Oryzias latipes: one gene and its partner. The protein of the gene in region 1 binds, or shares a complex with, the protein of each later gene. Links are inferred from orthologs where the notes say so. Each region holds a gene or a part of one and is shown on either strand. Other genes may lie near its edges.

Region 1 (16,769 bases):
AATCAAGATATCACTTAATGCAGATACTTCAAATGCATCACTACAGTCTAAATCCAAGCAGCTCAAAGGCTTTTTGGAGATAATGAAAAAGGGCAAACCTCCTAACATCAGGAAATTTTAATCTCCACAAATGCCCTGGTGCAGGTTTTTTCATTTTAAAGAGTATTCTCCAACCCTAGGACTCACATACCTTGATGCCGAGGTCCTCTACGAACCACTGGTCTCCAAGGAAGTTACAGGCCATGTCTGTGTCTCCGTTGTAGACGAGAGACCTCAGGCCCAGAGACAGCAGCTTCTGATAAACGTCCTTCACTGTGGAGTACAGAGTCTTGTACTTTTCTCCTACAGCGTCACTGGAGGAATAACAACAAGTCATAGCATTGTTACAAATGAATCAAATACTGCTGATTTTTTTCTTTTCAGTTTTTAACTGTCATACTGAATTTAGTTTAGAGTTTCACTGCATTAGAGTTCTTCAACCAAAGGGATGCAGGCAATTAAAGAAAACGCCTCATTGTTATGAATAAAAATCAAATGAAATGAAAATCCGCAACATGCACTTATCCTTGACTGACCGTGTCAGAATTTCCTAACATTCCTGATTTCTGTGTGTACCTGCAGATATCCCACAGGGGAAGAACATCTGGAATGTGCAAAGCTTTCCTCACGTCGCCTCTGTTCAGCCAGTTTGTCTGAGCCGTGCTGTTTATGCAGGGAGGGACTCCGCCAAGAGACGGAGTGGGAGTTCTAGTACCTGGAAGCTTCAGTAAAAGATTTTGATTAAAAAAAATGTGAGGCAGCAAAATAAAACAAAAAAACACAAGCGAATAGCCTTTTGCTAGGGCACCTTGTAAGTGTGCAGTTGTTTCTTGAACATCTTAAACAGATGTCTCATGGCAAACTCATATCCTCTGTGGAACCTTTGGCCGCCCTCACAGTCCAAGTACAAGGCATACTCATTGAGACCAGTTTCATACACAATATTAAAGGCCACATTTACCTGCAAAGAGAAATGAAAATGGACTCTCAGGGGCCAATCTTGCAAAAAAATCAGGAAGCTGATGGTGTTCACAGAGTGCATACTTACCATTGTCTGACAGGTCTCTGAACTGCTGTTATAAAAGTTACAGTTTGACTTATTACAGCAATTTATGTTGAGATCGCGCCACAAACTGCATGGAAAACAGACCAACAGTCACTGCATGAAATATTTAAAGCCTTCATTTAAATGTGATATGACAGAATTGAATCGTTAAGTTTATTTTACATTAAGCTTTTGGAGGGAAAGAAAAGGGCTTGTCTCTTTTTTTATTTTAATTTTTTACATTTTTTCTGGATTTTAGATGGTATGGTGTAAGTTGACTGTTAAGTGAATTCAGGGTGATGGTGTTCTTCAAGTGTGTATTAGGTCTGCCAATCTGTAAATTCACATCATCTTATGCGATCCTGTAGGGCAGGTCAGCATCTCAGAATTTGAAAATTCAACCCAAGAAAATGATCGCAGAATACTACAGGCAGACAGCTATGATAAAATCTAAGAAAATTAGTCATAACACAAAAATAATTTCTTTTTTAAGTATGTCTTTTCCTAAAATCTTTCCAATCAGTCAGAATAAAATGGACCTTAAAGAGACAGAAACTCAAACATTACAAAAATAAGTGCAAAAAGTTAACAGATTCAACAATTTCCAATATTTTTAAAATACTTTTTGTGAATGTAAAACCTTTAAATCATTTCTGTTTTCTGTAGATAATTACACTTTACATACTTTAATGAAAATTAAAACAAATAGATATGTTTTGTACAGAATTCCTCAGCACACAGGATGTACAAAAAGACACTTACTCTTCTCCAAAGAGGCCATGATAATAACCAAAGTATATCAAGGATTGGTCATTCAGAGCGAAGCTGCTGAGACCGTTTCCAACTGCAAAGCCCTTCAAAGACATCAAGATTTCAAAACATATATTTGAAGCTTAACATGAGATTTAACCCCTTGACGCCTGAATTTATTTCCAGCTATGAAAAAAAAAAACGTATGTATTTGCTGTCAAGTAGATGCTATATCAAGGTAAGTTTGTACCTGAAGTGGTTTGGTACAAATTTGCAAATTTGTTCATTTGAAAGCGCATTGCGGAAGTGAAAAAGGCGTCACGTTTTAAAAGGAAGCAACTCACCTTAAAATTGATTTTAGCCTCTCCTGTGGCCACATGGAGGCTGAGCGTTGGTGCATAAATTCCACCGTAACTCTCTCCAAAGATGAAAAACTCGTTCTGGGTGAAGTTTGGGAACTTTTTAAAGAAGCTCTGCAGGGCTTTGTAATTATCTTCAGCAACCTAAAACAAAGATGGTGGTTCCTTATTTTTTTATGCCATCTCTAAACTTTTCTCCCCAAAGTGTATCGTTTTATATAGCTCACCTGGTTGTCATCAATTGGGTAAGGCTGATCGGAGTAGGAGTATCCCACTCCTGCAGGGGATTCAAGATACAGCATATTTGCAATCTTATTCCAGCTGTATAGGTTCTCATAGAGAGTGGTTCCATCATCGTTTACCTGAAAAACACGAGCAATCCTGTCAGCCATAAGCCCCATCAAACCCTTCATCAAGCTAGGAACACAGAGAGTGAGGCTGACGTGAAACGGTCCATTCTCTGACAGGAATCCATCCAGGGAGCTGCAGCCGGGGCCTCCGTTCAGCCAGAGGACCACAGGGTCGGTGGCGGGGTCTTCTTGAGAAGTCACAAACCTACCGTGATGTAAATTTGGAGTTATTTTCATAACTTATTATCTGAATTTTCAAAGAATTGTCTGTCTGGATTAGCTGTGCACCATAAACATAATGTATAAAAACTAAAGTAAAATTCGTACAGAGTTTATTTCCCACTTCATGGCTCTGGTCCAAACATCTCTAAATCTCTGGAGTTTGTTTATGTTTATTTTAGACTAATTTTTCTGTTCAAAATGTCATCTTCATAAAATAGTATAGCAGTAGGAGATCATCAAAAATGATTGAAGTTACATTGGAGTTGCATAGATAGCGGGTCACGTGACATTATCAGAAACACATGGTCAAAGTGAGGATACACCACCCCAAAGAAAAAAATAAAACAAAAAAGCCACTAAGAATTTCTCATTTGTTGAAAAGTAAGTTACAGAAATATTCGCATATTGTGAACTAGAGAGACATGTGAGCAAAAATGCAAAACAAACTCTGAAAAAAGGAACAAAATCTCTGTAAGAGCAGAATAAAATGACAAATAATTACACCATTATTGCCAACTATCGATGCTTCCTCTCACCAGTAATGCAGGAACCTCCCGGGTCCAGCTTGGAGGTATCCGGACCATTGACGATAGTTCGGTTTGAACGTCATACCGGGTAGTTCCGTCACCTCATCAGGAGCATACTGAGCGTGCGAACCGAGCCCAAAAGCGGCCAGCAAACACAACACGATATGCATCTCGGAGGCTCACAATAGTACAACAAAACATCCACAAACTTCACAACCACGAGGAATACGGAAGACTTTGACTTCCTCCACCGTCATCCGCGGCAGTCGCTAAAACATCAGCCCATGCAGCTTCCAAACCAAATCAGTCATATGACTGCTGCGCAGCGCAGTCACGTGCTCCTGACTTTTACAGAAGAACCTTGAACGCCGCTCCTAAAAAAAGCATCAAGAAAAAGCTGCGACCTGATTTTTAAAAAGTGCTTGACTGTTTTTGAATCTGTTAAGAAATGAACATAGACTAACGATCCAGAGCAAAAGTAAAAGTGGTACTATCTAATAAATGTCATGTTTACAAAAAAAGTAAAGAAAGAATTTAACTTGATCTAATATATAACGATATTAAGAATTATCTACAGTAACGTCTGATAAAACATAAAAGGCCTAGTTGTTTAATTCTTAAAAAGTTGTAAATAAAGCAGTCAAAACCTAAAATTTAATGAATAAAAAATTCCGAAAATAAAAACTTTCCCCAAAGTAGACTGCTTCCGGGGAGAAGGTATCACAATAAAATGAGCACCACGACAACAACGATTCATTTTCAGGGAGAGCAAAAAACATTTTTCTACAATCAATGAGGGTGAAATTAACAATGAAATAGGAGGGACGTATAAGACACATTTAGAACATCCAGATGCACTATATTTTACACGGTTCTTTGAGTAAATCGGACATTTGTTTGTGGAGTACGTTTGTTGAAACACATATAAAATTTTATTTTGAAGGAAAAAGGAAGTTAGCGAAATAAAGTGGCAGTAAAGCTAGTTCAAAAGCGTTCAAAAGTTCTAGGTCTAATTTGTTTGTTTTGCTACTAGTTACATGGATCCCGACGACTGTTTAGACGAGGAAACTCCTGCATATGATAGGAAGATGAAAAGTCTTCATTTGCTCACGACGAAGTTTGTCCAGTTACTAGAAGAAGCTGAAAACGGAGAGCTGGACCTCAGACACGTACGTAAACTGCAAGGTTGCCACATGATTTTGATACAAAAAAAAGGCAATTTTTTGCAGTATATTGTGGTGGCAAAGTTAAACAAAAATGAGCAACATGATATATTCAGAAAAACGACTCTCCATTTACATTAACTGTATTAAATATGTTGAATACATAGACAGATTTTAAAAATCTGTTAGTTAGCTCATTCCCCAATGATCACAGTCAGTGGAAACATAAATCAGTTTTATTTTAATTGCCTGTCCTCTTTTCAGGCTTTCAGTGCTCTGGCTGTTGGACAAAAGAGAAGAATCTACGACATCACAAATGTGTTGGAGGGCATTGGTCTTATCAGAAAATTATCTAAGAACCATGTAAAGTGGCAGTAAGTCGTCACTCTTCCTGCACTAATTGTGCTTTGTGTAAATTCTTGAGTATGACATTGTTTTTATAATATAATTTACTTAGCTTGAACTGCACATCTTAACACACTTTGCATGTTTGTTGTTGTTGTTAAAGGGAGACGAATCCAAGAAGAAATGTAACTAGTGCAGGAAGAATTCTTATGAAGCTGAAGGCTGAGGTGTCTCACTTGGAGTGCAGGGAACATTTTCTGGACCAGCAGAAACTTTGTATTGAACAAAACATCAAGGAAATAACCGAAAACGACAGAGAATATCCTTTTTATTGATTTCAATGATCTACTTAAAATGTAACACATTATTTCACAACATTTATGAGGACGGTGTACACGTTTTTTCAGAAATTAGACTAAAATTCATACATTTCCATTCTTTTATTTCAAATTTTAACAATTTTACGTGTTAGAGAATACATTATATACTGACAAATTTATTTTCCATATTAATATTTATTATTGTTTAGCAACCATTGATGTCTTCTTGGTGATTTTTTTTTAACTTAATTTAACTTCAGTTTATGTGACTCATGACGACATCTGCAACTCCTTCTGTGGTAAATATCTCTTCTGTTTTTGTTTGCAACTTGTTTTGTGTGTTTTTGGCATGCTTTACTAAAGGCTTTTGTTGTATTGCTACTCTGCAACTTTACCCCACAGTGAAATAATGCAATGAACAACACACAAGGCCTCATGTACTGTGCAGTGCTAATGCATGGAAAGGAGCAAACTGTTGTTTAAACCTGAACATTGCATAAACCTCAAATAGAATTCTTAACATACTGTTTTCAAACTTCCAATTAGCTACACCAACTGTTTTCTGCAGTGAAACAATCAGATTTTCCTTTTGTGTTAGGCAGGGCAAACCCCAAAGGACATATGCTTCACTTCAGACAGTTGTTGTAGAAAGAGGTGCATATCAGGCTGTGCTGGAAGTCATCCTTCTTTCCTGTCAACAGAGGAAGAAAGACATTCAACCAGTTGTAGCATCTGGCTTACTGTTCAGCTTTTTAATTATTTCCATGGTAACACAAAGTAAACCAAGGGTCTTAATTCATTCTGGTTTCTTTCCAAATCACCATTACAGGTTTATGCCTTACATTTCTTAACTATAGAGACATGATGGAAAACTGATGAGAGATGCATAGATCTTAGAGTGTGAGCCTCCTAGCTGGTGCTAAAGGTTGAGCCAGATGAATAGTGAAGCAATCATCTGATTTCTTAGTTACTACAGGGTCAAATTACCTTTCACACTTGAACAACTCACATTTAATGACATACTCTTTAACTTATTATATATCGTGTTTATAAAGTCACTATAGGCTCTTCAAGAGCCTATAGGCAAACATACATTTCTCATAACGTCTTGCTAAAATTTTAAATAGATATACTCAAAAAATTTGTAGATGAATGCATTTACAGTGTAAAGACAAATATTTAAATACTGTGAATTTTTCTTGACACTGAATCTGTAATACTGGTTATTCTAAGAGTTTAATGCCAAAAAGCCTGTCATTTTTACTAACACATATAGGCAAATAATTGTATTATTTTTTTTCTATAAGTGTGTTTTATTCTAAAAAATATAAGTTCTTCTACCGTTTTCCTTCAGGTCGAACTGTTTTGACAGTAAGAGCACCCCAGGACACAACACTTGATGTTCCCATTCCAAAAGCTGTACGTTTGAGCTCAATCACACTTCTCATACTTTTGCGGCTCATAACCTGATAAGTTGTTTTTTTTTAATAATTTTTTCTTTCAGGTCCCAAACTGTCCAGCAAAATACCAGATTTATCTAAAAAGTCTCAAAGGACCAATTGATGTTATACTTTTTAACAAATGTTCTGCCAGCTCGGTTCCTCTTGTTTTGCCAGTCCCACCATCTGAAGAAGTTCTACAATGTGCCAAGTCAGCTATGTCACCTCCTGATGAGAAAGAAAACATAATTGAACCCAAACAGCCGTCAGCTATTGTCCAGTATGGAGAAAAATGGGTGCCTCAATGCATGTTATCATTTTTTAATGCTGAAAGCAAAACAAGCGATAGATCTCCATGTGAGTTTTTCCTTTTTTGTTGATATTGTGTTGTAAGAGAGATGTAGAACTTCATTACAAAAGCTTAATGATATGCTTAGTTATTCAAAATGTATATTTAGGAGTTTTCCTTGAATGCTAAAAACCCCCTTTGGAATAATTTTGTTTTAGAGCTACATAAATATGGCTTATTTTATTGGTTGATAACAGTTAACTTTCATTAACACTTATTGTCCTCTTGTTCGTCTGTTTTCTCCATGTAAACTTGTCGCATAACAAATATTTATATTATTGCTCGCTGTTTGTATTCATTAACTATATAATTATTAATTTTTAAATGAATATATTTCTTTTTTACAGTTATAGATTTATCAAAGGAACAGCAGGACCTGATTAGGGCACCCAGAGGTATTTTACTTACTTACTAATGCAATGCACCATAATAAACTTTATGTTTGAAAATGGTGATTTAACATGCTGCTTCTCAAATTTGTGATAGTCGTAATCGGATCACTCAGTTTATAACTTTTGAAGGCGCGTGCCTTTAAGGATCTAATTCATTCGTGACAAACCGTCCTGCTTTATTCACGACAAATTTGTTTCTCCTACAGTTTTGTCACCCCTTGGCCATCTAGCTTGACCCCCACCTGAACACGACCATGTTTGTAACCAGGAGGACGTTACAGGGATTCTTCATGATACACTGTATCTGTTTCTTTAAATACTCTGATGTTTTTGCTGATGTGTTTTTTCATATTTTGTTATAAGTTGGTTTAAAAAATAAAAAAACAAGATTTCAAATGTTGCACCCATCTTAATCAACACTTTAAAGCTAGGATTCTGTGGCAATTCTTTTTCAAATTTTAGTACCTGGCTCAGAAAAACATCACACTTTTCTTGTGATGTCAATAAAAACAAACTGGATGAGAAATAAACAACGTTTTTCATATCACGTTCAACATTTCTGATATCTGTTGAACTTTTGCTGGGGAAGCCCTATTTTCTGTGGCATAGAAATTAAAAAATTAAGAATTGATTTGTGCTGCTCTGAAAATAGTTTATTTTATTAAAATACACTTTATTTTACTGTATGAGGAATCATTTTGCTAAAAAGTATTTAGAGTTCAGTTAACCTGAGGTTATTTTGAAGAAATATGCTTTAAATGAAATTGTTTGTAAAAAATTACATTCAATTTTCTGTTTAGTCTTAAAAGAATTGTCTTAAAAATTGTAGAATTGTAGTCTCAAGTAAATTAAAAAAACACAAAAATATTACGATATTTTGACTTTGAAATATTTATTCGTATAACTTAAAAAAGAGCATCTCAATATATTGTAATAATGACCTCTAGGTTCTCTAAAGCTGTCATACATGCTGCAAATTGTTCAATCGTTTGAACAATAAAGTTCAAAATAAAACTACATCCGGTTCCAAACTTCGCCACCTTTCGAGCTTCCGGTTGTTGCTATGGGAACGAATGTTTAACAATGCTTGTTGTTGGGCTATGATTGCTGCCTTCCTAAAACACGTAAACGCCACCCGACTTTCTGCGTTATCTGAGCTGCGTAAACAATGGTAAATGTACCTCTATAAATGACAAAAAGTATGGTTGTTTCTATAAATCTAGAGTGACATTCAACCTATTAGCTTTTGTAGCCTCTATGCTACGATGTATGCAAACAAACTTCTCTAAGGAAAAAACAAACAAACAATCACAAAACTAAACGTTTGTTGAACTTGTTTTTTTCAGCCACCCAAAAGGAAAAGTACTAGCAAAAAGTCAGGAAAGCCAAACATGCAAACTCTGATCAATGGACGCACCAAGGAAGAAACCACCAAGGAGCAGGTATGAGCTCTACTAAAACATATCGAGTCATTTCAACAGGAAAATGTTTTTCAGTCATGTAATGTTTCCCTCTAACCAATACCAGAAAACCCTTTGAAAGCATTTATTGGACTTTGTTGAGAAGCATAATTGAAAAAATAAAATAAAATAACAGAAATCAAAACATTTAAGATATATTTCCAAAAGTCAGAAGTACCACCTGGAGCACCATAAGGTACCCTCATTTGTGGTCAGTGGTGTCCAAACATCATCCAGTCAGCATTGTTGTGCTGCATTTCGATCTTAAATGCTCATAAGCATTAACCCTCTAACATAATAATTCTCTAATATTTGTTGACTTTCTCATAAATTTACCTACAGCCATATTAGCTTGGTTAACGAAGTAGCGTCCTTTGGTGGAAAAGTTTGGTAACGATTACCCGTATTTCTGGGTTTTAGATAGAAGAGTACATTGCTCACCTTCAGGAAGAGCTGGACAGGGAGATGGAAGAGAGAAACTACTTTCAGCTGGAGAGGGATCAAGTTCACACGTTTGGGAAAATCACTGCCAAAAAACTGGAGGAGGTGTTGGCTGAGGAGAAAATCCTGGAGAAGGGGTTGGAGGAGGACGAGGAGCACCACCTCATAGAGATCAAAGTAAGTTCAGTTTGTGGACTGTAAGTTAACTGTTGAAATGGAATTGTTGGGTGTGTGATTTGTGGCCCTGACTGGCAACCTGTCCAGGAAGTCCCCTGCCTCCTTGCCTTCTCCCACAAGTGGCTGGGATAGGCTCCAGTAGCCATGTGACCCCGAAAGGGACAAAACGGCTTAGTAAATGAATGAATGAATGAATGAATGAATGAATGAATGAATGAAAGGAATTGTGGGGGTGTTTTTTTGTATTAATTGCCTGTGTTTATTTAAGCTGGTCTTCTTGTCTGATAAGTGAATATGTTGTTTTTCTTTTTTCGTAAATAATGCTGACCTAAAGTCCTGATATTACTATAATATGTTTGCCACTTTTCTGTTGTTTGTGGTTTATTTACTCACCCTGGCTTCATAGCCCAGCTATGGTTGCCTCATTATACCCTCAACCTCAGTCAGACCCCTAACCACAAAGGGTTACATAGTTCAAACTAACCAGAAAGGATTTCTCTGCCTTCTACTAATGACCTTCATTACATTTAAGTGTTTGCTGGGAGGTTTGGATATTTAGGAAGCAAACTCAGTGGAATTCAAAACCTTCATTCTTTCAGATTCTGGGTGTATGAGCATGGAATATTGTTAGACTGATGAAACATTTATTATGTTCTTTTTCTTATTCAGGTGTACAAGCAGAAAATAAAGCATCTCCTCTGTGAACATCAAAGCACAATCTCCGAGCTGAAGGAGGAGGGTTTGGTCTCCATCAAGAAGCTTCAGAAAGAGCTGGATCAGCTGGAGATGGAGTTTCATAAGAAAATCAAAGCTGGTATGGTAGACATACAGGAGCTCAACAATGACGACTTTGAAAGACAACGGCTACTGGTTTGTAACGCACACAAATGTTTTTATACAATAATAGGCGTCTATCTGTACAACTTGATGGGAGTTGCTTAGTGTGGCTTTCTAATAAACAGTTTTAAACTATTTTAAATGTCAAATATCCAACAGAAGTTCCGCAACTACTGACATCAGTCATAAAAAACCTGTGGTACGGCCAGATTTCTTTGAGGGTATTTGTTGTGTCAACTTTTTAGACCCTTCAGGTTTATAAACCCGTAGACCATCAAAAATGTTAACATTTAGAGACTTCTTCATTGATCCAAAGAAGTTCAGTTTAGTTTCAGACAATCCATCCATCCATCTTCCTCCGCTTATCCGGGACCGGGTCGCGATCCCAGTTTCAGACAAATAAAAAGCAAAAGAATATTGTATTTTTTGTGTCTTTTAATGCAAACTTTTTGACCTCAAAAGTAAAACCCTAGCTGGGTCATAATGTCTCACGTATAGCCTATTCTCATGACGTTTTTTAATGTCTTCAGTGCAAAATTTGGCTCTTTATATATTTAATTTTAAACATGTTTTATTCAGGTAGAAAAACATCCCAATTTTAAATTATTATTTTCTCATAAAATGGTAATTGCTCAGTGCTGTATTATACGTGATTATATATATTATATATGTTCCTGTGGACACTGAAATGACTTGAAACGTTAAAAAGTAACAATAAATTAAAATTTATCGAAAATTAAATAATCAAAATCAGCCATTACTTTTGAGTTGTTGATTAACAGAATTATTTAAAAATACAAACTAATGAAATAGGACTTGACAAAAATGATGGTACCTCCATAAAAGACTGAGAACTAATTGTCCAGGGGGTCATGATGAACTCAGGTATGTCCTTTAATTGAATGAAAGGAGAAAGGAGAGAATTGTCCCAGGACATTAGAAACAAAATTATAGACAAACATCGTAAAGGTAAAGGCTATAAAACCATCTCTAAGCAGCTGGAATTTCCAGTGAAGACAGTGGCACATATTATTCAGAAGTTTAAGACCCACGGGACAGTAGCCAACCTCCCTGGACGTGACCGAAGAGGAAAATTGATGACAAATTGAGGAGACGGATAGTTGGAACTGTATCCAAAGAGCCCAGAACAACCTCCAAAGACATTAAAGGTGAACTCCTAGATCAAGGTACATCAGTGTCAGATCACACCATTCGTCGTTGTTTGAGCCAGAGTGGACTTCGTGGGAGACGATCAAGGAGGACACCACTGTTGAAAGGAAATCATAAAAAAGCCAGACTGGAATTTGCAAAAATGCATGTTGACAGGCCACAAAGCTTCTGAAATGATGTCCTTTGGACATATGAGACAAAACTGGAGCTTTTTGGTAAGAAACATCAGCTCTATGTTCGTAGACTCAAAAATGAACCAAACAACCAAAAGAACACTGTCCCTACTGTGAAACATGGAGGAGGCTCAGTTCTGTTCTTGGGCTGCTTTGCTGCATCTGGCACAGGGTGTCTTGAAGTTGTACAAGGTAAAATGAAATCTCAAGATCATCAAGGCATTCTGGATAGAAATGTGCTGCCTAGGGTCAGAAAGCCTGGTCTCAGCCGCAGGTCATGGGTCTTCCAACAGGACAACGATCCAAAACACACAGCCAAAAACACCCAAGAATGGCTAAGAGAAAAGCGTTGGACGATTCTGAAGTGGCCTTCTATGAGCCCAGGTCTGGATCCCATTGAACATCTGTGGAAGGAGCTGAAACATGCCATTTGGAGAAGACACCCATCAAACCTGAGACAACTGGAGCAGTTTGCTCATGAGGAGTGGGCCAAAATACCTGTGGACAGGTTCAGAAGGCTCATTGACAAATACAGAAACCGTTTAATTGCAGTGATTGCCTCAAAAGGTTGTGCAACAAAATATGAAATAAATTTTCAAGAAATTTTAATTTATTATTACTTTTGAACGTTTCAAGTCATTTCAGTGAGCATTGTGGACTTTCTTTCTTTAACTGAGCGGTACCAACAATTTTGTCCACCACTGTAACATCTAGTCCTATAAAACAGACCTATTAACTCTATTTAGAGTTCTTCTAACTGTCAAGCTGTTTTACTTTACATGTTGGCAGCACCATTCAAAACAACACCCACATACGGTATTTGACACGAACATTTTGTCAGGAAATGATGAGCATTACATACTACACACAAGGGACTCCCAGAATACCTCTAAGAGGCGTTTTACACAAATTTGTGATTAATTTTTATCTTCAGTTACAGGATGAGGTTACTAAAACAAGGAGCAACTGGGAGCAGCAAGTCACAGGTAAATGAAACTAAACTCTTAGCTGAATTTAAGACAATTGTGTTTTTTAGAAATGAACTCAAAAGTCCCATTTTTGACATTATCTGTGCAGAAACCGCTGCAAAATATGAAGAATGTCTTAAGCTGTTCCAAGAAGAGTTGGAAAATACTGAAACAAGTTTGGTCATGAATTGTGAACTGGAACGAGACACCCACATTGTGGCTTTCCAAGAGGAAATGAGGGAAGTCTTCAACAGCATTCAGGAAGTCAATATTTTAATGGAGCAGAATAGAGAGATAATAAATGAAATCCAGGTAGGTTTTATTTTAAAATAGATATATAAAACAAATGTGTTCAGGACAAAAATGAAATAGTTTTATACTTTAGTAATCACTGCATGTTTTCTTTGCACCTCCTAGAACAAAATTTTACAAGAGAAGGAAATTCAAGTTTATGATATCCCCAAAGTTCAGAAGACCAACATTAAGAAGAAAGCAGATTTCCACTTGAAAAATAAGGTTATTGTTATGTTGATACTTCTGTTTTTTAAATATCAGTGTGACTTATTGAAGTGTATTCAAATTAATGTACATAAAAACTCAAATAAAAAGTGTAATGTGTCACTTTATTACTTTTCTTCACAGCAATCTATCAAAATTCCTGAAACAAAGACCGTTGAGGACCTGAAATTAGAAAATGAAGCACTAGAACAAAAATTCAACGGGGTGAAAGATAAAAATCCCACTTCACACGATTCATTGTTTTGAAGTCGAGAAAATATTAATATTCTATTTGTTTTTTCTTAATCCCATGTTGATTCACACAGCTTCAACTGGAAAAGGCAAAGTTGTACAATTCAGTGACTCCAAATATTGAGAGAACCCGTGAAAAAGTGGGTTTGAGGAGCGCACAGCTCAGGAGGAAGCTGCAGGACCTGACGGACAGTCTGGCAAGGTCACAGACTCAGCTCTTCACTGTTCTCTCAGACCCAAACATGGACCACAATGTTCTCAGTGAAATTGCAAACAAAAGTGAGGTAATGTTTCACACTCCTGTGTTCTCTGCTTTAAAACTCACTTTTGCCATATCTTTAGAAAAAGGATAACTGACAAAAAGTTTTGTCTGTAGGAAAATTTGGACAGAAGAAAATCTGCCATTAGGAACATTGCATACAAAAAGAATGAGATCTTGAAGGTTAGTCATTCTTTTACCTCATTATTTATTTATTTATTTTGTAATGAAAAGACTGTGTATGTAATGCAAATGTGTATCCCGCAGGCCCGAAGTCATCTGCTGCTGACCGGTGAAGAAAACCCGATGTTTAAGTCTCATAGATAAGATTCTGTTAGATCTCTTATTTGGAAAGCAGAACCTGGATTTCTGGAAGTGAAATGACAAATCTCACGTCTGAATTAAAAGAAAATTGTAATGTCTTTATGATTTTACAGAGTGGACTCATAAAAAATATAAGTTTGCTTCATAACAAATTATAGTATAAGAATGGATTTGCTGCAATTTAAATCTAAAGTAATGATCCATTAAAACAGACAACACATGTAAGTTTATCTTTGTGGCTTTACTGTCCTCTACAGGCTACGTACAATAACTGCAACCGCTCAGCTTCAAGCCTTTAAAGTAAAATCAAAATCTCAAATTTAAAGATTAAAAAAACAAACTAATGGTTGTATCCATGTTTTAAAACCGATGTGAATCAGGAACCTCTTGAACTTAAAAATAAATCTTTCAAGGGTCTTGATTTTGCCCTTTTCTTTTAAATTAATTACTTTTACTTCAAAATAATTCATAGTTTCATTTATAGTTAACATTTTCTCTGTAGCAAAGAAAAAAAATGCTTCAAAATAAATGTTTTATTAATCATTATCTGTATAGAATTGAAGTTTTGTTGACATATCTGCACCGCTGAAGCTACATTGTGATTACCGTAATTGTATTTAATACCATGTTACAGATGTTTAGCATCTGCTTTGGCACACTGTTGTGCAAAAAGGATGGAGAAAATAACCAGAACAATTTGATTCATTGAAAACTAAAAGAAAAACAAGAATTTGGGCCTGTTATTTGTTCCCTGTTGTTGTATTAATTAACTAATAATTTATTTTATTGTAGCAGTTGACATGTTTTTTTCTGTGTACTTTTTTCTGTAAAGGCTGGTTTTATCTTTCAAATACGTTGAAGGTTTTTCTTCCCCTGTCTGAAAATTTAGAACATTATAATGGAACTGAGTCAGTACACATTGAGGGCGAGTACAGTTATGAAGAGGCAACCTTTTGTGGGTATTTAGTTTTTTATTAAGATGGAGCAGCATTGTTTTTAGAAAGAGAATAATCTCCCTACATTTTTTTTTTCTCCTCAAAGATGTTTGCTATTCCTTTGTTCTGAGTGTACTTAGGAGTTCTGGCATTACTAGTACTAATGTTTGATAAAATAATTTCTTATAACTGCTGCCTTCACCAAGATCTAATATTCAATTATTTTAAACAAGCATATTTGATTTCAGCATGGTTATTTTATGAAAAACGTATGTTAAAATCTCCATTTGAAAAATTAAAAGTCTTGCCTTTTTGTTTAGAATGAGCCAGGATGAACAAAATCTGTGTGTATCTGCATAATAGTCATTGCTAAGGGTTGGTGATGATGATGATGATGATGATGATTGTATTTTTTGGACATTTACTTTAAAAGGACACATAGGACAAGACTGAAAAAAAAAAAAAAAAACCTAGAAATATCTGTCATTCCAGCCTTTTAAAGTGCTAAAAAGGAAACATTGAAACAGAGTAACCTAAAAAATATTATTTTTGAATCATAATTTACTTAAGTGCAGAATTTATACTATATTGATTTATTCTTGGTATATCTATCAACTGAGAAGTTAGTGTAATAGTTAGCTCCAGCTGTGTATTTCAATCACAACAGCTATATTACCTGGCCGATTTGCTGTTTCCAGCGGGGGGGGGCAGATCCAGTTTCTCATTGACTATTCCCATGGTGAATCGAGCCCTGCTGCACTGAGTGATCGCTGTTCCCTGCGGCATCAATAATACAGGAGGAAGTTATTGTCCCTGTGCAGGCTGCAGTATCTTGCAGCTGAAGCAAAAGGAAGGAGAAGGTGGTTCTTTCACTGAGAGCTCTCAGATTACAGGGCATGCAGACAGCGGTCTGACTCTGGAGAGACGGCTCCTGTGCCCTTTGCACAGGGCTCAATTGTGGGTCTGTCCAGACAAGGGATAAATGTATCTAAACAGTGACAGCATACAAAGTTCTTCTGGTCTGACCCGCTTGGTAAGACTACACCCCCAACACACCCAGTGTTACAAGAGATAAATCCCCCCTCAATAAAGAATTAGTCAATGGGCGACAGATCGAGAGTGGGGCAGTTATTCCGGGTGTGATTAAAATAATGCAGATTTTCACTTCTTTTTAACACCTTTTTCATTCCTCAAAAGCAGGAAAAAAGTCAGAAAATATCCAAATACAGGAGAGATTTAAAAGAACACTTTGTGTGATGGTACACAAAAAGAAACACACATAATGCCGGAAAGATTTTCAAGTGTGAAGCTGCAAACTAACCTGAAGCAAAGAGCCTGAGAAAAGGCACTTAAAACACCTGCACAGGTGGACGCTGGAGGGAGGAGGGGGATGGGGGAGAGGAAAAAGTAGAGAAAGTCAGAGCGATGGTGAAATAGAGTCCCACTCAGGTGGAGGTCAGCACAACAAAAAGCTGAAGGAGATGCTGCCAGCCACTTAAAGACGATGGATTATAACACTTGGTGAGTTCTGAGAATCTTATTTCTCATCTTTTAGGTTCCATCGCTGAAGGTATAGCTGTATAGTTGTCTCAACTAAATTAGATCTATTTTGATGTTCAGAACAGGATCCTGTGAGAATTGGAACGCTGTAAAACTTTTATTTTTGAAATGGTCAGCTCATCGTTAAAAATTTTTTTTGTTATGCCCTCTCTAGCGACCCAGCATCACCTATAGACTTATCATGGAACGTTCAGGCTTTCAGTTTAAAAAGACCTGCATTTTTTGCTTAACAAACCATGCAGCGTAAGCTGTACAATCATTAAGGTTTAATATCCTCTGCTGGCACTGATACTTACCTGCATCCTATCACTTAATGAAGAAACGCTATTTCTTTGTTTTCACCTATAACCCACAGGACAACTGGATTCATGAGAAAAATGTGAGAGCATTTGTTTTTGTGCATCCTGGAAAGAGG
Region 2 (16,452 bases), about 2.8 Mb from region 1:
CAGCATGCTCTCCAAAAAGTCGGAGCAGACTTGCATAAGGCCGGGTATGTCGAAGCGATCTGCCGTTACAAACAGTTCTTCAACGTTGGCTTCTGTGACAGGAACAAATCCAGTGTAACAGAACTCAATGATGAGGTTCATCGTGTCAGACGACACCTCGGTCACGTCAAAGATCCGACAGTCTGGACCTGACCAGTGAGTGAACAAATTCCTGTGAAGCAAAGTGAAAAAACAAGGACCTAAAGCTGGGAGGGGAGGACCAGTGACTACATGACAACAGAACTAAATACTTAATTTAAAAAAAGACTTTTTACATCCTTCTATAAACTTGTTTAATCCCTTTCATGGTCACAGAGAGCCTGTCACAGACGGGCGAAATCGTGGTTCACCCTGCTCTTACTTTGTACATTTTTGCAAAATTCACAACAATTTTACATGCTGCCATGTTTCTGTCTGAAAGATTTTAAAGACTGAAACCAACATGCAAGGTCAAGAAATTAAAGCTTAAAAGGACTGTCTTCTTTTTAGGAGGTCATTTATTTGAAATTGAAATTGAAATGTAAAAAAAATGTAATTTTCATGATTAGAATCCCGGATTAAAATATTTGTTCCTGCTATTTTTGTTTGCATATTTTTTTAAGAGGTTCGGGTTAGGTTATATATATTTTTCTTCCAAGAATTACCCATAGTGTTCATTTTAAAGTAAAAATACAGCAGAGTTTTTCCAGGAAATCCCATAATATTCTCACCTGAAGTATGGGCTACAGGCATACAAGATGATCTTGTGTACGTGAAATTCTGTGTCACCCACTCTAAGTACAGCATCACAGAGGTGGCGCCGTTGATAAAACATGAAGTACAACGAGTCCTCTCTACTCATCTCTGCCGGTGACCCCTGCTGGCTCTGATCTGGAGTGAACTGCACAAAGTTCAGGTGAGACAATTAATCCTACACATGCACTGCTCAGACCACATAAACCCTTCAAGTTAGTTAATTAACTAGAATAAAGAGTTTCCATTGTGATTTTCGTCTCTCCTCTTTGTACTTTATCGGACAACCATTTTTAATGTTACTGTTTTCGACGATAGGGGAACTAAAACATTGTATTGTAGCATTTATGTTAAAAACAACGTAACCATTTTCAGCTCTAATTTGTTCTGTGAAGCTGGATCAAAACTTTGATAAAAATTTAAATAATAATGTTTATTAACCAGTGGCTCTAAAATAAAATCCGTTTGTAAGGTCTATTTAGTTGAATGGTTTGTGTTTTTACTAAGGAAATGTTAAAAAAAAAAGAAAAAGAAAAAAAACTGGGGTCTTTTGGGCTCCTACATCACAGTTTGAATAAAAATTCAAATCTATTTCGAGATTTTTGCTAAACTACATACTTTTGTTCATTGTAAAACAAAATATAGTCCCTCTGTGTGGCACTAGTTATTTTAAATATGTAGTTGTCAACCATTAAAAACAAAAGACATTTGAAACATTACAAAAAAACCTTTATGAGAAAAAATTTTGTGTTTGCTCTTAACCCTTGTGCTATCCTATGAGGTCAAGATGACCATTTATGTGTTCTCCCTACCGTGATATGGTGGATAAAGGTGGAGAGGATTTCTTTTGATCCTTTTGAGGTCATGTTTTACTTCGAAGCCCATCGAGACGACTGCTGTTGTGATTTTGGGCTATACAAATTGAATTGAATTGAATTTCATGTAATCCATGGACACCAGTGAGGTTCACAAATAATTGAAGATAAAAGTTCAGCGCACTGTCTAGTGGGTCTAGATTATCGCACTCCCAATGTCAAAGTGCCTTGGATAGCACAAGGGTTAAACTGGTAACTTCTGAAGTTAGTAACACTGATCTTTTTGACCGTTGTGCACAACTATAAAAAGTACACAAGATTCTTTCAAAATAGAGGGTTACAGAGACACCTTATGGCCAAAGAGTAGAACTGCTGGGGTAAAATCTCTTAATTTCAAGATTTTTTTCCTTCCTTGTGTAAAGTAATCAGATATAAGTAAATATAAGTAGTACCATAAATACAAGTACTGCATCTTTCAACAGATGGAATGCACAAAACTGTTTATTACTTAATTCAATAAAGAAGGTTAATAAAAGGAAGAAATATGAAAAGTAGAAACAGCAGAAAATGTTTGTAATTAAAAGAGTAGTCTGGACTGAAAATACTAAGTTAAATGTACTGATGAATGAGACATTTCACAGTTAAAGTAGGCAGATTCAAAAATAAACCTTTTTTAACATTACTGCCTTGAAATGATGTGACCAGCAACAAAATGAGCGTGGAGGCATTCCCTCTATAAATGTACACTAGAACTTAAGTGTTCCAACTTTGCATCATTGTTAGGTTTATCTCACATTCAGGAGATTGAAACTGAACTTTAACACAGAACAGCTCCGTCTGAGAGCTTCTTACCCCGCCTGTGGTGGGTGTCGGTGAGGACGTGGCGCACGACGCAAACCGGGACAAACGAGCGCCAATCCACCAGTAGGAAGTTAGCTTCCGATTTGAAAAACGTTACAGGAAAATCTATTCAACTCATTCAACTTGGTTGGTCCAATAAAAACATCTGCTGTACAAAGGCAGTTGAATGTGTCTGTACAGTACATTGGAAGAACTTTTAAACAGCAACAAACAACATTTATTGTTTTATGAAAATGTTCTAATTTGTGAGAAATGCGCACAGTTTAATTTTTGGGGGGTAAAAATTATTATTTTATGGGCATAAAAAGTTGCCTGTTTTCTGTGCACGGCTTAGTATTTTGTGGTCACAAATAGTAGGAAGTGATGATAGTAAAATACTTGTTTGTGCACAAAAAATGCTAATTTGTGAACACAAGTGGCTCATTTAGACAGACAGTTTCAAACCGTCTTTCTCACAAGACCTGTTTTATTGTGAATAATAGTTTTTCCCTTAACTGCAGAATCAGAACAAAGTAAAAATCGGACGCCAACTTCAGCCTCGTCGCAAACGCGCTAGCTCGCTTTACTTCCACGTGGAACCTGTCATTTGACCCAAAAATCTCCATGGCAACAAGAACGCAGCCCATACTGCGCAGTGCAGACCGGGAAGCGTGGCGTTGAGCTCCGCGACAATCCTGCAGTCATGAGTCCATTATGACCGGTTGCGTCCAACGCCCGTGAACGTCTACACTGCGAACACTAAAGGTATGCTCGTTTTCTCCACCAGGACATCCCGGTTAGAGCACATCTGCGACAACGTCAAGGTAAATCCAGCGCAGGAATATTTTTGCGATAGAAAGGGAACAGAAGTGGTGTTTAAAGGATCTGTGTGGGTGCCCAGCTGTCAGAGCATCGGTGCTGGGGGAGCTCATTGTCTGCTGTGAAAGGAGGCGATGGTGCTGCGGTGCCAGGAGCCTGCACACATAAGACAAGAGGAGGAAAACAAAGCTGCTGAAGGCTTTAGAAAAACATCCCTCTGCTGGTGAAACTTGATCTCAAGAGACTTGTGTTTACTTTTGATGATGTGGCCTGTTTGTCCTTCAGGTGCACAGATGGATTTCCATCCTGTCCGGCTGCTGCAATGGGTCCTGTCTGTCTTCCTGCTCTTGAGCCCAGGCAGCTCAGCTCCAGGGCAAATGTAAGCTCACCTTCCTACCACGATGATGCTCATCTTCTCACATTTGTACCCTCAACAAACAAATTCTGGTCTTCATAGAAGACACTTAGTGGATATTTTCATTTAAATAAATAAACATGAGATTAAATAAACACACCCGTGTTCATGATAATCTTTCCAGCTGATGGATGGAATAGGGCTCATATTGATGTGTTTATCTTCACAGTGTGGAACCGGTGGAGAGTCAGCTCCCTCCTGGAACTTTACTTAATCCTTTTGGCTCCAGAGAGGAGGAACACAGGTGAGTGGCTGCTGAATGATGCCCTTTAACCTGTTCTTATAAAACACTAAATTTGTTTTTCTTGCCATTCCTAAGTAATCATTACAGTAATAATGGAAGTGTGTAGAGAAGAAATCTGGAAGGACCTTTAAAGATGCATCAAGTTTTATACTGTTCAGTGGCCATGTTGAGTATTTTGGATTCATATCCACCCCATCTTTTCAGTGTTTTATGCATTTGTACAGCCAGACAGTTGCTGCAGCAGTCAACCACAGCTGATCTCAGGGAGAACGCCATGCTGGAGAACCAAGCTTACTATTATCTCAAACTATAATGACATGTTGAATGGATTTGAAGTGGTTAGCTTGGCTTCTCATCAGATTTTCTTTGACTCAAAGTAGAAGCAATGAGGCTGATTTTTGTTTCATTTCTTGCGAGGACTTTACAGAATCCCACTTCAGGACTGGAGAACATTTTAAAAATTGAAATAAGAACACCAAATATGATCTTTAACAAAACCCATAAGAGTATTCTACATTTCCATATATGTTGGTCATTATTCTTTTTAGTCTTTAGTGTTTAATGGTAATATTGTCAGACTTCAGTCAGCACACAGACTGAGTCAGTAGCTACAATCTTGTCTCTCTTGAACTTTGGTTGCTCTTGTACTATAAAACTGTTGGGAATTTTATACAGACACATTTCTCTGAACTTTGACTCTTCCTAATGTTTCTTTCTTTTATGTTTCTTATTTAAAGCAAGCCATTATTTCACAATAAAGTTAATGTTTCACTTTAAATGGAGAACAAATAAGAAACAAATTCTTTTGACTGTAGCTTCTTCCTCAATCCTCAATGCTCTCTCTTGGTCACATGCGTGTAAGATTTGGATTAATCTACAGAATTTTCTGTTTGATACTTTTAAGATTTTTTTTTTGTAAAAATAAAAACCGTGCTGTGTGTCGCCACAGATTGTTGCAGAGTTACATTCAGCCTATTCTGAAAAACCACCAAGGAGGACCAGAGATCACTTCCTGGGAACAAGGTACTCTGTTTATTCTAATGCAGAGCTGAGAGATAATTGTTTATTTGTTTTCCCAAAAGTGTACAGTTGACATTTATTTCCCATTCAATCACTTTGACAAAAATGTTAAAAAGCAGCTCATTTTTCAACCTTGATTTATTTTTGTTGTTTTGTCAGTGCTAACTAAAACAGATCCTTTTGAGTTGTGGCAGCTTGACTTGCATCTAAAGAGCTGATCGCATGTTTAAGAGAAAATGCTGGAGTTTCAATCACAACCCTTAAGAGATAATTATATTAAGAAATAATAATTTTAACAACCAATAAACATGTTAAAAACCTGCAGAAGATGAGCTTAGATCACAATACAGAAGGTAACTTTTCACATAAGTCGTTTTAGCTTCTGGAAGGATGAAAAATGTGTCATAAATAGAAGATTTTTGTTTCTTGACTCTAGTTTATAACTGTTCATCATTTAAACCTCACAGCCTTCAGATGAATACGTTGATCTCTTATAACAAGCAAACCTCATGACTTCTTGTAGGAGACAACAGTTGGGTTCCTTATATGGTCATATGTACTATGGCCTCCATATTGCATCTCAATTCCAGCAAAGTAAAAATTGTTCAGGTTCGTGGGTTTTCAGACGACAAAACTGCTCCATGCTTTCATCACCAAAGCTCAGAGATTGTGTTTTTTTTTTTTTTAAAGTGTCAGATGAGTTTGGCATCCAGCGTCTCTCATAGTGTTCTTTTTTTGCTTCAGAGGTTTTCTTCCTGTTCCGTCTGTATGACTTTGATCGCAGTGGGTTCTTGGATGGTTTGGAGATGATGAAGCTGCTCTCTGACTACAGCAAACATCATTCAGGTCAAGCGGATGCCAGCGAGCTGGTGAGCTGGAGTGACTTTGTGTAAATCAGGGGTCTGCAACCTTTAACCCTATAATAGAACCATTTGGTCCAGTTTCTTGAACGCCAATGAGAGCCACAAAGTCCCTCTGCACTGTTTAGAACAGGGGTGTCAAACTCATTTTCACTGAGGGCCACATCAGCATAGTGGCTGTCCTCAAAGGGCCAGATATAACTTATACATGTAACTAAATGTAATGAAAAATAAATGTAAATACTCCTTAATGTTAAATAACTCATCATTTATTTATTATAACTTTTTAAAGTGACAATTACAGTTGCATAGAAAACATATGTTTGCTTGTTATTCTAGCATAAATCCTTTTGAGTTTTGTAAGCTTATTAAAACCCACATAACTCCATTAATGAAGGATCAAACTGAAAAAGAAATTTGACACATGTAAAAAAATACACTTGATTTATGTTTTTGTGACCATTAAATTTTAGATAGTGATAAAAATTGAATTGTAAAAGTTTTATAATTTTTTGTATATCATTTCTTACTTTTGACACCAGCACAAACAAGTTCCATTCAAAATAAAATACATCCTTTATTAAATAAGATCCTTCTGCGGCAGCAGATTTATTTGAATAAAAAATGTAAGAAAGTCAATCAAACATGAACTTTTCTATCATTATGACTTTGGTGAACTTTCATCCTTTCTCTCCTTTTACTATTAAATATAAACATCACAACATCCAATTTTAAAAAGCCTATGTGAGCTTTAAAATGATTCTAATAACAAACGCCTCTCACGAAACCTTTTCCCATCATTATTTTAAAAATCTAAAAATAAATGAAATAAACTATATTAACTAAAACAAATCAATCACAACTACAAAAAAATATTTTTATTCAAATCGTTAGCATTTTTCTTCAAAGCCAAAGAGCCACAATGGAGGGATAAAGGAGCCTTATGTGGGTACGGAACCTCAGGTTGTGGACCCCTGGATTAGTTGGTGTTTTAGAGCTGTCATTGTATTTGGGTGTAGTTTCCTTTCTGACCACATATTTGCATCCCTTTGGGTGGTTTAGATAGTGTCTACGGTGGATTTCTTACTCCAGACTCAGGATTTGAACCATGATGGGCTGCTGGACCCCTCTGAGTTGCTGTCTCCACTCACTCACACACAGGTACTTCCAGATCAACACACATTTTGTTTTGGTTTTTAAAATGATACACCATTTTGTTTGTTTTGGCAATGACTTTATATGACACTTGCTACCTCAAAGGGCTCACAGATCAACCAGATACCTCAAACGAAGCAGGAGGTGGTTGTGGAGAACAGGCAATCAGCCATCATCACAGAGGAGCAAAATGCAGGAGCAGTGGACAACAAACAGCAAGAGGATCCTCGGGAAGACTTTCACCCTCAAGAGGAGGAAATACAAAATCAGGAAACACAGGCGGACAAAGACATACAACAAATAGATAAATATAATCAACAACAAATTGAGGACGCCCCTGTAGAAGAACAGGAAGGAGTCCCTGTACACCAGGGACAACCAGAAATATGAAACTCTATGAAAATGTTCTTCTTGGGAAGATTTCCTCCTCCCTTATCCCAAAAAAAGGGCTTTATTGGTTCTGAGGACTCACTGTCCACTCTAAGCTGTCAAACGTGTGCCAGACAATGAAAAGTCATCTTTTGCTTTCCATGCATGATGTTGTTCCTATAACTTTTAATTTCTAAAAGTTAAAACACCCCACAGGAGCATTGAAATCTATCATTATCATTATTGCACATTTTCTGGTAAGATTTGATGCTTTATTTATTCATCATTTGTCTCACTAGTAAATCTCTGGTCATACTTTTCATACACGGTGTTTTCACTGTGCAGTACACAACAGTAGTTTCCTAATCATTACTACATTTTGATGATAACTTGTCTCGGTAATATCCAGCATAAATGCAGCCAGAATGCACTGTAGTCTCTGCATGCCTTCAAGCATCTGTAAGGAATCTACTCAGGTGATATTTATACTGATGTGCTTTTCCTGATTCAATGTGTGGCACAAAAATTCATGTTTCCCTTGATAAAATGATAATAGACTTCAAAGAATAAATAAAAAAATGAAATCAGATTGCCCCAATAATATATTCATTCATTCATTCATTCATTCATTCATTCATTCATTCATTCATTCATCTTCTAATCCATTTGTTCCCTTTTGGGGTAACAGGGCTGCCTGAGCCTATCCCGACTGTAATAATACAATTTTACTAAATATCCAGTGGGGCAAAAAAGTATTTATTCAGCCACCAATAGTGCAAGTTCTCCCACTTAAAAAGATAAGAGAGGCCTGTAATTTTCTTCATAGATATACCTAAACTATGAGAGACAAAATAAAATAAAAAATTCTGAAAAATCCCAGTCTGATTTTCAAAGAACTTATTTGTAAATTATGGTGTATAGTAAGTATTTGGTCAACAACCCAAGTTCAACTCAATACTTTGTTATACATATACCTTTGTTGGCAGTGACAGCAGGCAAATGTTTTCTGTAGGTCTTCACAAGGTTTTCACAAACCGTTGCTGGTATTTTGGAATGTTCCTCCATGCAGATCTCCTCTAGAGCCGGGATGTTTTGGGGCTGTCGCTGGGCAAAACAGACTTTCAACTCCCTCCAAAGAATTTCTATGAGGTTGAGATCTGGAGACTGGCAAGGCCACTCCAGGACCTTGAAATGCTTCTTAAAAAGTCATTCTTTTGTTACCCAGGCAGTATGTTTGGAGTCGTTGTCATCCTGAAAGACCCAGCCATGTTTCATCTTCATTGCCTTTGTTTATGGAAGGAGGTTTTCACTCAAAATCTGACAATGCATGGCCTCATTAAAATTTTCCTTTACACGGATCAGCAGTACCTTTGCTGAGAAACAGCCCCAAATCATGAGGTTTCCACCCCCATGCTTTACAGCAGGTACGGTGTTCTTTGGATGCAACTCAGTATTCTTTCTCCTCCAAACACGACGAGTATCGATCTTACCAAAAAGTTTTATTTATTTCATCTGACCATAGGACATTCTCCCAGTCCTCTTCTGAATAATCTTATCATCTTAATTCTCTCTAGCAAACATGTACTGTCTTTAGCAAGGGGATATGTCTGGGACTGCAGGATTTGAGTCCCTGGCGGCGTAGTGTGTTACAGATGTAGTCTTTGTTACTTTAGTCCCAGCTCTCTGCACGTCATTCACTAGGTCTAATTGTGTGGTTGTGTGGTTGTGTATTTTTGCTCATTGTGATCATTCCGACCCCACGGGGGGAGAACATCTTCCAGGGAGCCCCAGAGGGAGGTAGATTATCAGTGGTCTTGTATGTCTTCCATTTCCTAATAATTGCTCCCACAGTTGATTTCTTCACAGCAAGCTGCTTACCTTTAGCGGATTCAGTCTTCCCAGCCTGGTGCAGGTCAACATTTTTGTTTCTGGTGTCCTTAGACAGCTTAAGGTTGTGTACTGGTGTATTTTCTATAGACAAGCATACATTTTCAGACAACCATCAAACAGGTGCCAGTAATTAAGGTGACGAGTGGCAGACAGAGGATCCTCTTACAGAAGAAGTTCCAGGTCTATGAGAGCCAGAAATCTTGCCTGTTTGTAGGTGACCAAATTCTTATTTTCCACCATAATTTGAGAAAAAAGTTCTTTAAAAGTCAGACGCTGTGATTTCCTGGAATTGTTTTCTTATTATGTCTCTCATAGTTGAGGTATAATGACAAGTACAGGCCTTTCTCATCTTTTTAAGTAGTAAAACTTTGGCACCATTGGTGACTGACTAAATACTTTTTTGCCCCACTGTAAGCTTTTTCAGATAAAGTTTTAGACTTGATGAGTTGGAAAAATTATTTATCCAATATGCAAACAGATATCATTATAGGTCATTAAGTGTCTCAGAATTAATTAGGTTATTAAGGAAACAGTACATTTTTTTTGTTGGTAAAAGAATATTAAGTAGGGTGTCACTCGGTTGCTAAGCAACACGACAACACCAGGCAGACATGGCGGAAGCCGGTGAAACAGCAGGTCAGTCAGAGTTTCTTTACTGGTTTAAAATTTGTTTAGTTTTTGTTATTACAATTCATTTATTTTTTTCAATATATAAATTAGATGAATACAGTCTATTTGTGCTTTGGTTATCAGAAATCCAGAGGAAAATCCGCGCAGCCTTTCACGTGTTTGACCACAAAGCTGACAACACCGTGGACGTCCGGTGAGCTTTAAAGATCCCAAACTTATTTCATTAACTCAAACAAGTCAAGAGTAACTCAGCGCCCACTCCGAAAATGTTGTTTTGCAGTGAGGTCAGCACCATCATCTATTCGCTGGGATGTTTCCCCACCAAAGCAGACATCCATCGCTTCGTGGATGAGGTCAGTAAGTTCCGCCCTCCTCGCAGGCGGGCAAAATAGTGTGCCATTTGCTTCTTCTAGACCTTCCTACAAGTACAACAAACTTTTACTTTGAAATTTCTTTTCTTTTTTTTTTTTTTGCGCATCTCTCCGTGCGCTTTTTTTTCTCTCCATCTGTTTCTGTCCATATCTGGACAGCTGGAGCCTTCACCCCCTTCTTGTACCTCCTCATTCAGGAGCGTTTGGCCATCATTGGAGCAGCAAATATAGGATGATTAGGTGTCGCGTGGTCTGACTGTAACGTCGTATCGCTGATTTTACAGAAAATATATGTTGACCCGCAGAATCAACTTAAGAGCTAATTTTTTTTTGATTCAGCCGCTTTTGTATCAATTCTTTATTCTCTGTTGCATTGTTTTAACCTAAAAACTTTAGTGCGTGCCGAATCCTTGTTTTACGCGCTTTGCGCATGTTGATCATTGCGCAGCAGCAGTCCAAGAGAATCACAAAAATAAATAAAAATAAGCATTGATGAAAAGCACGGACCGTCTATTTGCGCAACTTCTCACTCTTTTAGTCAGTCAGGCCTTGATTTCAGGCTTATTTGCTGTATTGCCACGGTTGGTACAATGACTTCAGTAGTGTAATTTATTTTATATAAAAAAGATGTAAAAACGAAAGATAAAACATTTAAATGACTGTTGAAAGGGCCTCACACACTTATGTGCCCAGGGCCCCCCCTGCAGTTTAATTTTGCCTCATATAGATTGTTGTAATATATTTTAAAGCCACATTTTGCCACACCTTCAAAATAGTCAGCATATAAATAGCATTCAATTCTTTAACAATAGTTAGAACTGAAGAATCTACTGGCAGAAATGTCTTCCGGATAAACCTTAAAAGTCCAGTTACCCTGAAGAACTGTGTCATCCTGCCATAACATTTATGATTGAAAAATCTTCACAGATGTAAAACACCACATTCAGAACATTTAAAAAATACATATAAATTTGTTATAATTACATTTGATTAACTCTGATTAACTCTCTTGTTTTGTAACATCTTTCAGAACTTTTGTCACAAAATTCTGTTCACACAGGTGGAGGAGGACAATATGGGATATGTTCACTTGGACAAGTTCCTACCAGTCATGACCAAAGTAATAATGGAGAACAAGTAAGAAAGTTCTGCTTTCTACATTATTTTCCAGTCACATTTTAAATTCATTCAACTTTTTTTGTCTGCTTCAGAAAAGAAAAAACAGTGGAAAAACACACTCATGTTAGCCTTTCTGTACAGCTGACACAATTTTTTTATGATGATAAATAAAACTGTCATTTATCACCTAGCATGCTGCAGATAATGTACTAGAGAGACCCAATGGCAAGGCGGTTCAGACTTTACTAAAAACACTGTAAACAAAAAAATATGTGATCTCCTTCAATACGAGATTTGGAAACATCTTCTTGTGCTGTTGGGTTGAATAAATTCAACATTTGAACCCACTTTTCATTGTATGTGGTGTTGTATTGCATGAGCAACTTGGAGTTTGACACCTTTATCTGAGAGCAACTGATCCCCTCATTATCACTCCTCAGCATTCAGCATTGCATGGTCAATGACTCTGCCTCAAAAAGATCTTCATTACACTATAGTTGCCATGCCATTACATTCTGAGACTAACTGGGACCTCCTGTTTACTTTGGAAAATTGTGCAAAGCTCTATTTGTAAACGGGAAAAATAATCTTTATTTTTAATTCTGTTTGTTAGGTTTCCTCCCATTCCTGAAGAGCATTTGCGTCAGGCGTTTGAGGTGAGAGGACACCCAGTTTCACTGTATCGCCAAGACCCATAGTTCACGATCTCCGTCCACTAAGGGGAATGACAGTCTCACGTCTTTGTCTGATGACTGCACATAACTTTCTTCAGCTTTACCTGCAGCCACAGTAAAGGAAAGAAAATTAATGGTAAAACTTCCTTAAGGCCCTGGTAAAGTTTGCATGTTCCCCTGGTGATTGCTTTGTTTCCCTGGGCACTCCAGCTTCCTCCCAAAGTCCAAAAACATGCTTCACAGGATAATTGAAGATTCAATTATCCTGTGTCAAAGCTGGGTAGGCTCCCGTGATCCCAACTGGGAATAGCAGGATTAGAAGATGGATGGAAAGTATGGTTGAGTTTTTACTTGAGATCTCTGTTGGTAGATTGTATCCTACCTCACGTCACCACAGACTATAAAACCTCAAAGGATTCCTGAGGCAGCAACGATCACATTTTATTTGACCTGCATTTTAAAAGAGTTCCAGCATCGTTTTCATGTCTAATCATCCATAATTGTTACTGTGTATTTCCTGAAATAATGTAAGTCACGATTCACTTGGTTAACTCTTCAAGTTTCCATTAAAGCTAATTTTCATTAACCTACCTATTACATAAATGTTTTAAACTGAAGAAATGTGAAACTTTAATCTTCAAATGACATTTGTCTTCTTCCCCAAGAGGACACGCTGTAAACCTTTTCTTCTTTAGAACATGTTTTTTTCAGTTCTCGCGCATTTTCAGGGATGCAAGGCAAAGTGATTCCGTGGTTCCTGTGACTGACGTGTTTCTTGATTTTTCTATTTAATCGAGAATACAAACTTTTGTTAAAATTGATATACTGTATTATAAACCTCAAGGAGATAATTTAACATTGAGCATAATGTTACCTTATTACCTTGCTTCAATGTTCATTAAACCAGAAATGCATTATGATTCCAGGTTTTAGACAAAGACAGGAGGGGATACATGGAACCACAAGAGCTCGCAAAATACATGAAAAGTGAAGGTAAAGCAGAAGCTTTGAAGTAGTTTGTGAGCTGGAAAACAACAAATTAATGGATCAATGTTTAATATTTTCATTCAATGCTTGTGTTCAACAGGTGAGGCCTTCAGTCAGGAAGAGACCAATGAAATGCTGACAGCACTGGTTGATGAAAAAAAGAACCTTATCTGCTACAAGGAGTTAATCAATCAGCTGACCATTGACCCCGACACGTAGGCAGTCATTCCTCATTTCTCAGCATATCTGCTGAAAAACAGTGTGTTTGGGCCAAAATACAAATAAATATTAATTTTTGTTTTTTCTGTATTGCTGTCAAACTTCAGAAATTATTCAAAATGTTTATTTTTAACAGATCTTGGAAGTTTAAATTGATTTGAAAGGTTAAAAAGAGGGCCATGATGAATTAACAAGTTCCAAAAATAGAGAAGCAAACGTTTAAAGAGATGTAGAAATAATGATAGGGATTAAATTTGCAACGAAGATGGAAACTCTGTGGCTTGTGTGCAACAGAACGTGAAGCTTAGGTTGAAAGAAAAAAAAACTAAACTTTGTAATCAAAATGCAAAGATTGGTGTTAAAATGATGACATTTTCTTCAATAACAGAGTTCTAGCAGAATGGAACAAAAAACAAAAAAAAAGCAGTGACTTTTGCTGAGCATAGCACTTTATCTGAGGTGATTTTCATGATTAACATGATTCCAACATTTACAAGACCGTCAGAAAACAGGGGTTATTTGATGTACAGGAAAGTCTGAGAAGTCTAGTAACAAATTCCAGCAAATCCCTCTATGTTCATGATTTTAGTGTACAGTACAATTTAATGTCAAAATAAACACAAATCTAATAACCGTTTAAGACCAGAGAGCTCAAGAGATAAAACATACGTCTACTGGGACAGGTTTTATCGTTTGGGTTTCAAACAGAAACAAACAGAATAAGGCTCAAATAGCTTGCAGATGCAGTCTTTATGAGGGCACAATTATTTAAGGAAAAAATGGTCAACTTGACTATTGTAGTTCTGGAAACAGGCCCAACTGGATTGATGATGGAATGTTTATTTGTATAAAGAGGGGGAGGCACAGTTGAAATGTGCTAAAGTCAGCATTTAAATACAGATTTGAAACAAAATCAATCAAAAAAGAATCACAGTTGTAAAAAAAAAAAAAGTCAGATAAGCACAACAGTTCTGTTGCAAAGGAGATTCAATTGTAAATAAGACGACTCAAGTGTGGCCTGGTGGAACATGGAAATATGGAGATCCAGGCGGATCTCCATGTTTCACAAAGATTCAAGAGTCAAATGATGACTTCAAGTAAAAATGACAGAAAAGCAGCCCGTTTTCCAGCAAATCCAACTAAATGTTCATTTCAGGTGAAAAACTGACAAAAGGGAAAGAAGTCAGAGTGAGAGAGCAGCTGACGGAAAATTGAATAAACAATGACATCAGAATCAGCTCCCTGCAGTGGTCTCTCTGCATTATTGCACACAACTTCAACGCAGAGATTTACACCCAACACTAACACGCCCACAATATTATGCACACGCTTCACATATAGCAGGAAAAACAGGAAATTTCCACCATGTTCCTCCTTTCTTTCAGAGAAAGGGCTCAAGATCAGGAAAGAGGATGATCTTTAGGTCAAAGCGTTCTGATCAGTTGAAGCTTAGTGGGATTCAAAAAAGAACAAGCTCATAGATAAATGAGGTCAAAGGGTTGTTCAAAACCTGATATGCATGACGCCAAGAAACACTGGATTCAGTCATTTCTGAGGCCTTGTTGCATAGCTGCAGCCCACGTTTAAAGAGTGGGAGGATAATTGATCTCAAAGGAGAAGTTGTGCAAAAATTACTAAAAAAGAAAACCACACACACACACAAAAAGAACCACACAGGGCACATGTTGGCCCAATAAAACAACCTATAACTTGTGCCCAATGTTACCCCAAACCTCAGCCCTCCTTTATATCATCCTGACCAAAGTTTACATTTTTAAGGTGTCAGAGAAATATAAAAAGATAAGCTATGAAAATCAAAAAGTCTAAAGGTGGAAAGCAGTGACCCGGCAAACATGCTGGATCAATTTAATCGTTTTACATTTTCATATCATTGATTTTTTAATTTAGGTTTTTAGCTGAGCAGCAAATGTGTATTTTCCATTGACTGTCCTCCATCCTACATACATTTGAGACTGAAAAGATGGTGGCTTCACTCCATCACCAATTACTGCTAACCATCAATGGACTTTTCTCACCTGTAAGAAGTTTCTATTATTGACAGGTTGGACCATCAGCTGCAGAAGTAACAGATTCATCAGTACCCAAAGTCGGAAGTGAGCCACACTTTGATCAAGTTACCAGGGTCACATGGTTTGCCAACATTGATTAAACAGAAAAAACCCTATTTCCTTTTTTAAATCTGTAAGACCAGGCCAGCAGCAGAGACGTTGTCTCCTCCACCTGCAGTCTGGTAAACCTCGGTACACACCAGCACTGGGGCCACACAAATCTCATAGTCGTCCTCATCCCAACAGCTTACGGGCCTGTTCTCCTGCAAAGGGATGCGCTGGCTTCCTTCTCGTTGGCTGACGGAGAACGAGTCGTCCATGATGAGCCTCGCCTTGCTGGGGTCGATGTCATTGGAGCCGCAGACGTGGCGGTTAGCTGTGAGCGAGGCCTTTGCCGTGGCTGACATGGTGTTTTTCCATTTGGAGTCCCGTGTCACGATCATGGCCTGGAAGGCCAGCGTGTGCACGTGGAGGCGGGTCAACGGCTTACCCCTCCTTTTAGCACCCTTTGCGTCACTTTCCGTACTGGCGTCTTTGTAGCGTTGGTTGAGAATTCGATACACCTCCCTCATCTGGTCGAGGACCGTGGCGACACGAGGGTTTGGATCCGACAGCACTGTGATGTTGGAGCCTTTGAGGAGGCTGAGGAGATTTGGAAGTTCCTGTTCATTCATTCCTAAGGAGTCTGCCTGGAAAAGCACAGAGAAGACAAACTGTCAAACTGGAATTATTCAAAGATACATTCTAAACTACTGAATTGACTGTTTTTAAAAGAGAACCAAAACAATAAAATCAGAATTTAATGCACATCACACAGGAGGGACATGTTTGGAGCATCACTTTGCAGTCAGGAATGGCCATTTTGTTTCATATTTTAAAATGAAATTATATTTATACAAGTTAACTTCATGAGGTGACACTTTTATTTTGGCATTTGAAAATCACAGATCCAACGGAGGCAGTCGGACGCATTCCAAAAGACGACATCTGTTTCCAGAAACAGGACTAAGCAGGCAGGAAGACGTCTGGTCCGTTTAATCAGAGAATCCAACTCATTTTTGAAAAAAATAAATAAAACTGAAGCACCAAGTGGAGAGTCTGTATGAGATCTGCTAGAAAAGTCCTGAGGAATGCAGAGCTCTCAGACTGAAACAAGCCCAAAGGAACTTGAAGCTCCACTGAAGA

Evidence for each region.
Region 2: growth arrest-specific protein 8 (region 1) and efcab2 share a complex: the UniProt entries of both Homo sapiens proteins name them as parts of the nexin-dynein regulatory complex. The link is inferred for Oryzias latipes from reciprocal best matches to the Homo sapiens genes DRC4 and DRC8.

The regions. Positions count from the first base shown.
Region 1 is NC_019861.2:21,826,376-21,843,144, forward strand, and holds growth arrest-specific protein 8, read left to right. Parts: upstream 1-8,249; 5' UTR 8,250-8,468; coding exon 8,469-8,471; intron 8,472-8,646; coding exon 8,647-8,742; intron 8,743-9,180; coding exon 9,181-9,378; intron 9,379-10,047; coding exon 10,048-10,248; intron 10,249-12,492; coding exon 12,493-12,544; intron 12,545-12,635; coding exon 12,636-12,838; intron 12,839-12,943; coding exon 12,944-13,042; intron 13,043-13,168; coding exon 13,169-13,249; intron 13,250-13,350; coding exon 13,351-13,560; intron 13,561-13,652; coding exon 13,653-13,718; intron 13,719-13,802; coding exon 13,803-13,862; 3' UTR 13,863-14,405; downstream 14,406-16,769. Other genes in the region: lysosomal protective protein, read right to left, coding at 191-353, 616-761, 848-1,000, 1,088-1,172, 1,847-1,938, 2,179-2,337, 2,421-2,555, 2,637-2,748 and 1 more; transcription factor E2F4-like, read left to right, coding at 4,330-4,461, 4,720-4,829, 4,964-5,119, 5,376-5,419, 6,475-6,539, 6,625-6,916, 7,256-7,303, 7,507-7,535. UniProt on the Homo sapiens protein: Component of the nexin-dynein regulatory complex (N-DRC), a key regulator of ciliary/flagellar motility which maintains the alignment and integrity of the distal axoneme and regulates microtubule sliding in motile axonemes.
Region 2 is NC_019861.2:24,633,335-24,649,786, forward strand, and holds efcab2 (EF-hand calcium-binding domain-containing protein 2), read left to right. Parts: upstream 1-9,497; 5' UTR 9,498-9,809; coding exon 9,810-9,834; intron 9,835-9,951; coding exon 9,952-10,021; intron 10,022-10,108; coding exon 10,109-10,181; intron 10,182-11,259; coding exon 11,260-11,336; intron 11,337-11,931; coding exon 11,932-11,974; intron 11,975-12,918; coding exon 12,919-12,985; intron 12,986-13,079; coding exon 13,080-13,198; 3' UTR 13,199-13,288; downstream 13,289-16,452. Other genes in the region: kelch-like protein 10, read right to left, coding at 1-211, 750-880; cgref1 (cell growth regulator with EF hand domain protein 1), read left to right, coding at 3,539-3,624, 3,830-3,904, 4,854-4,927, 5,669-5,793, 6,847-6,945, 7,045-7,329; ADP-dependent glucokinase, read right to left, coding at 15,393-15,956. UniProt on the Homo sapiens protein: Component of the nexin-dynein regulatory complex (N-DRC), a key regulator of ciliary/flagellar motility which maintains the alignment and integrity of the distal axoneme and regulates microtubule sliding in motile axonemes.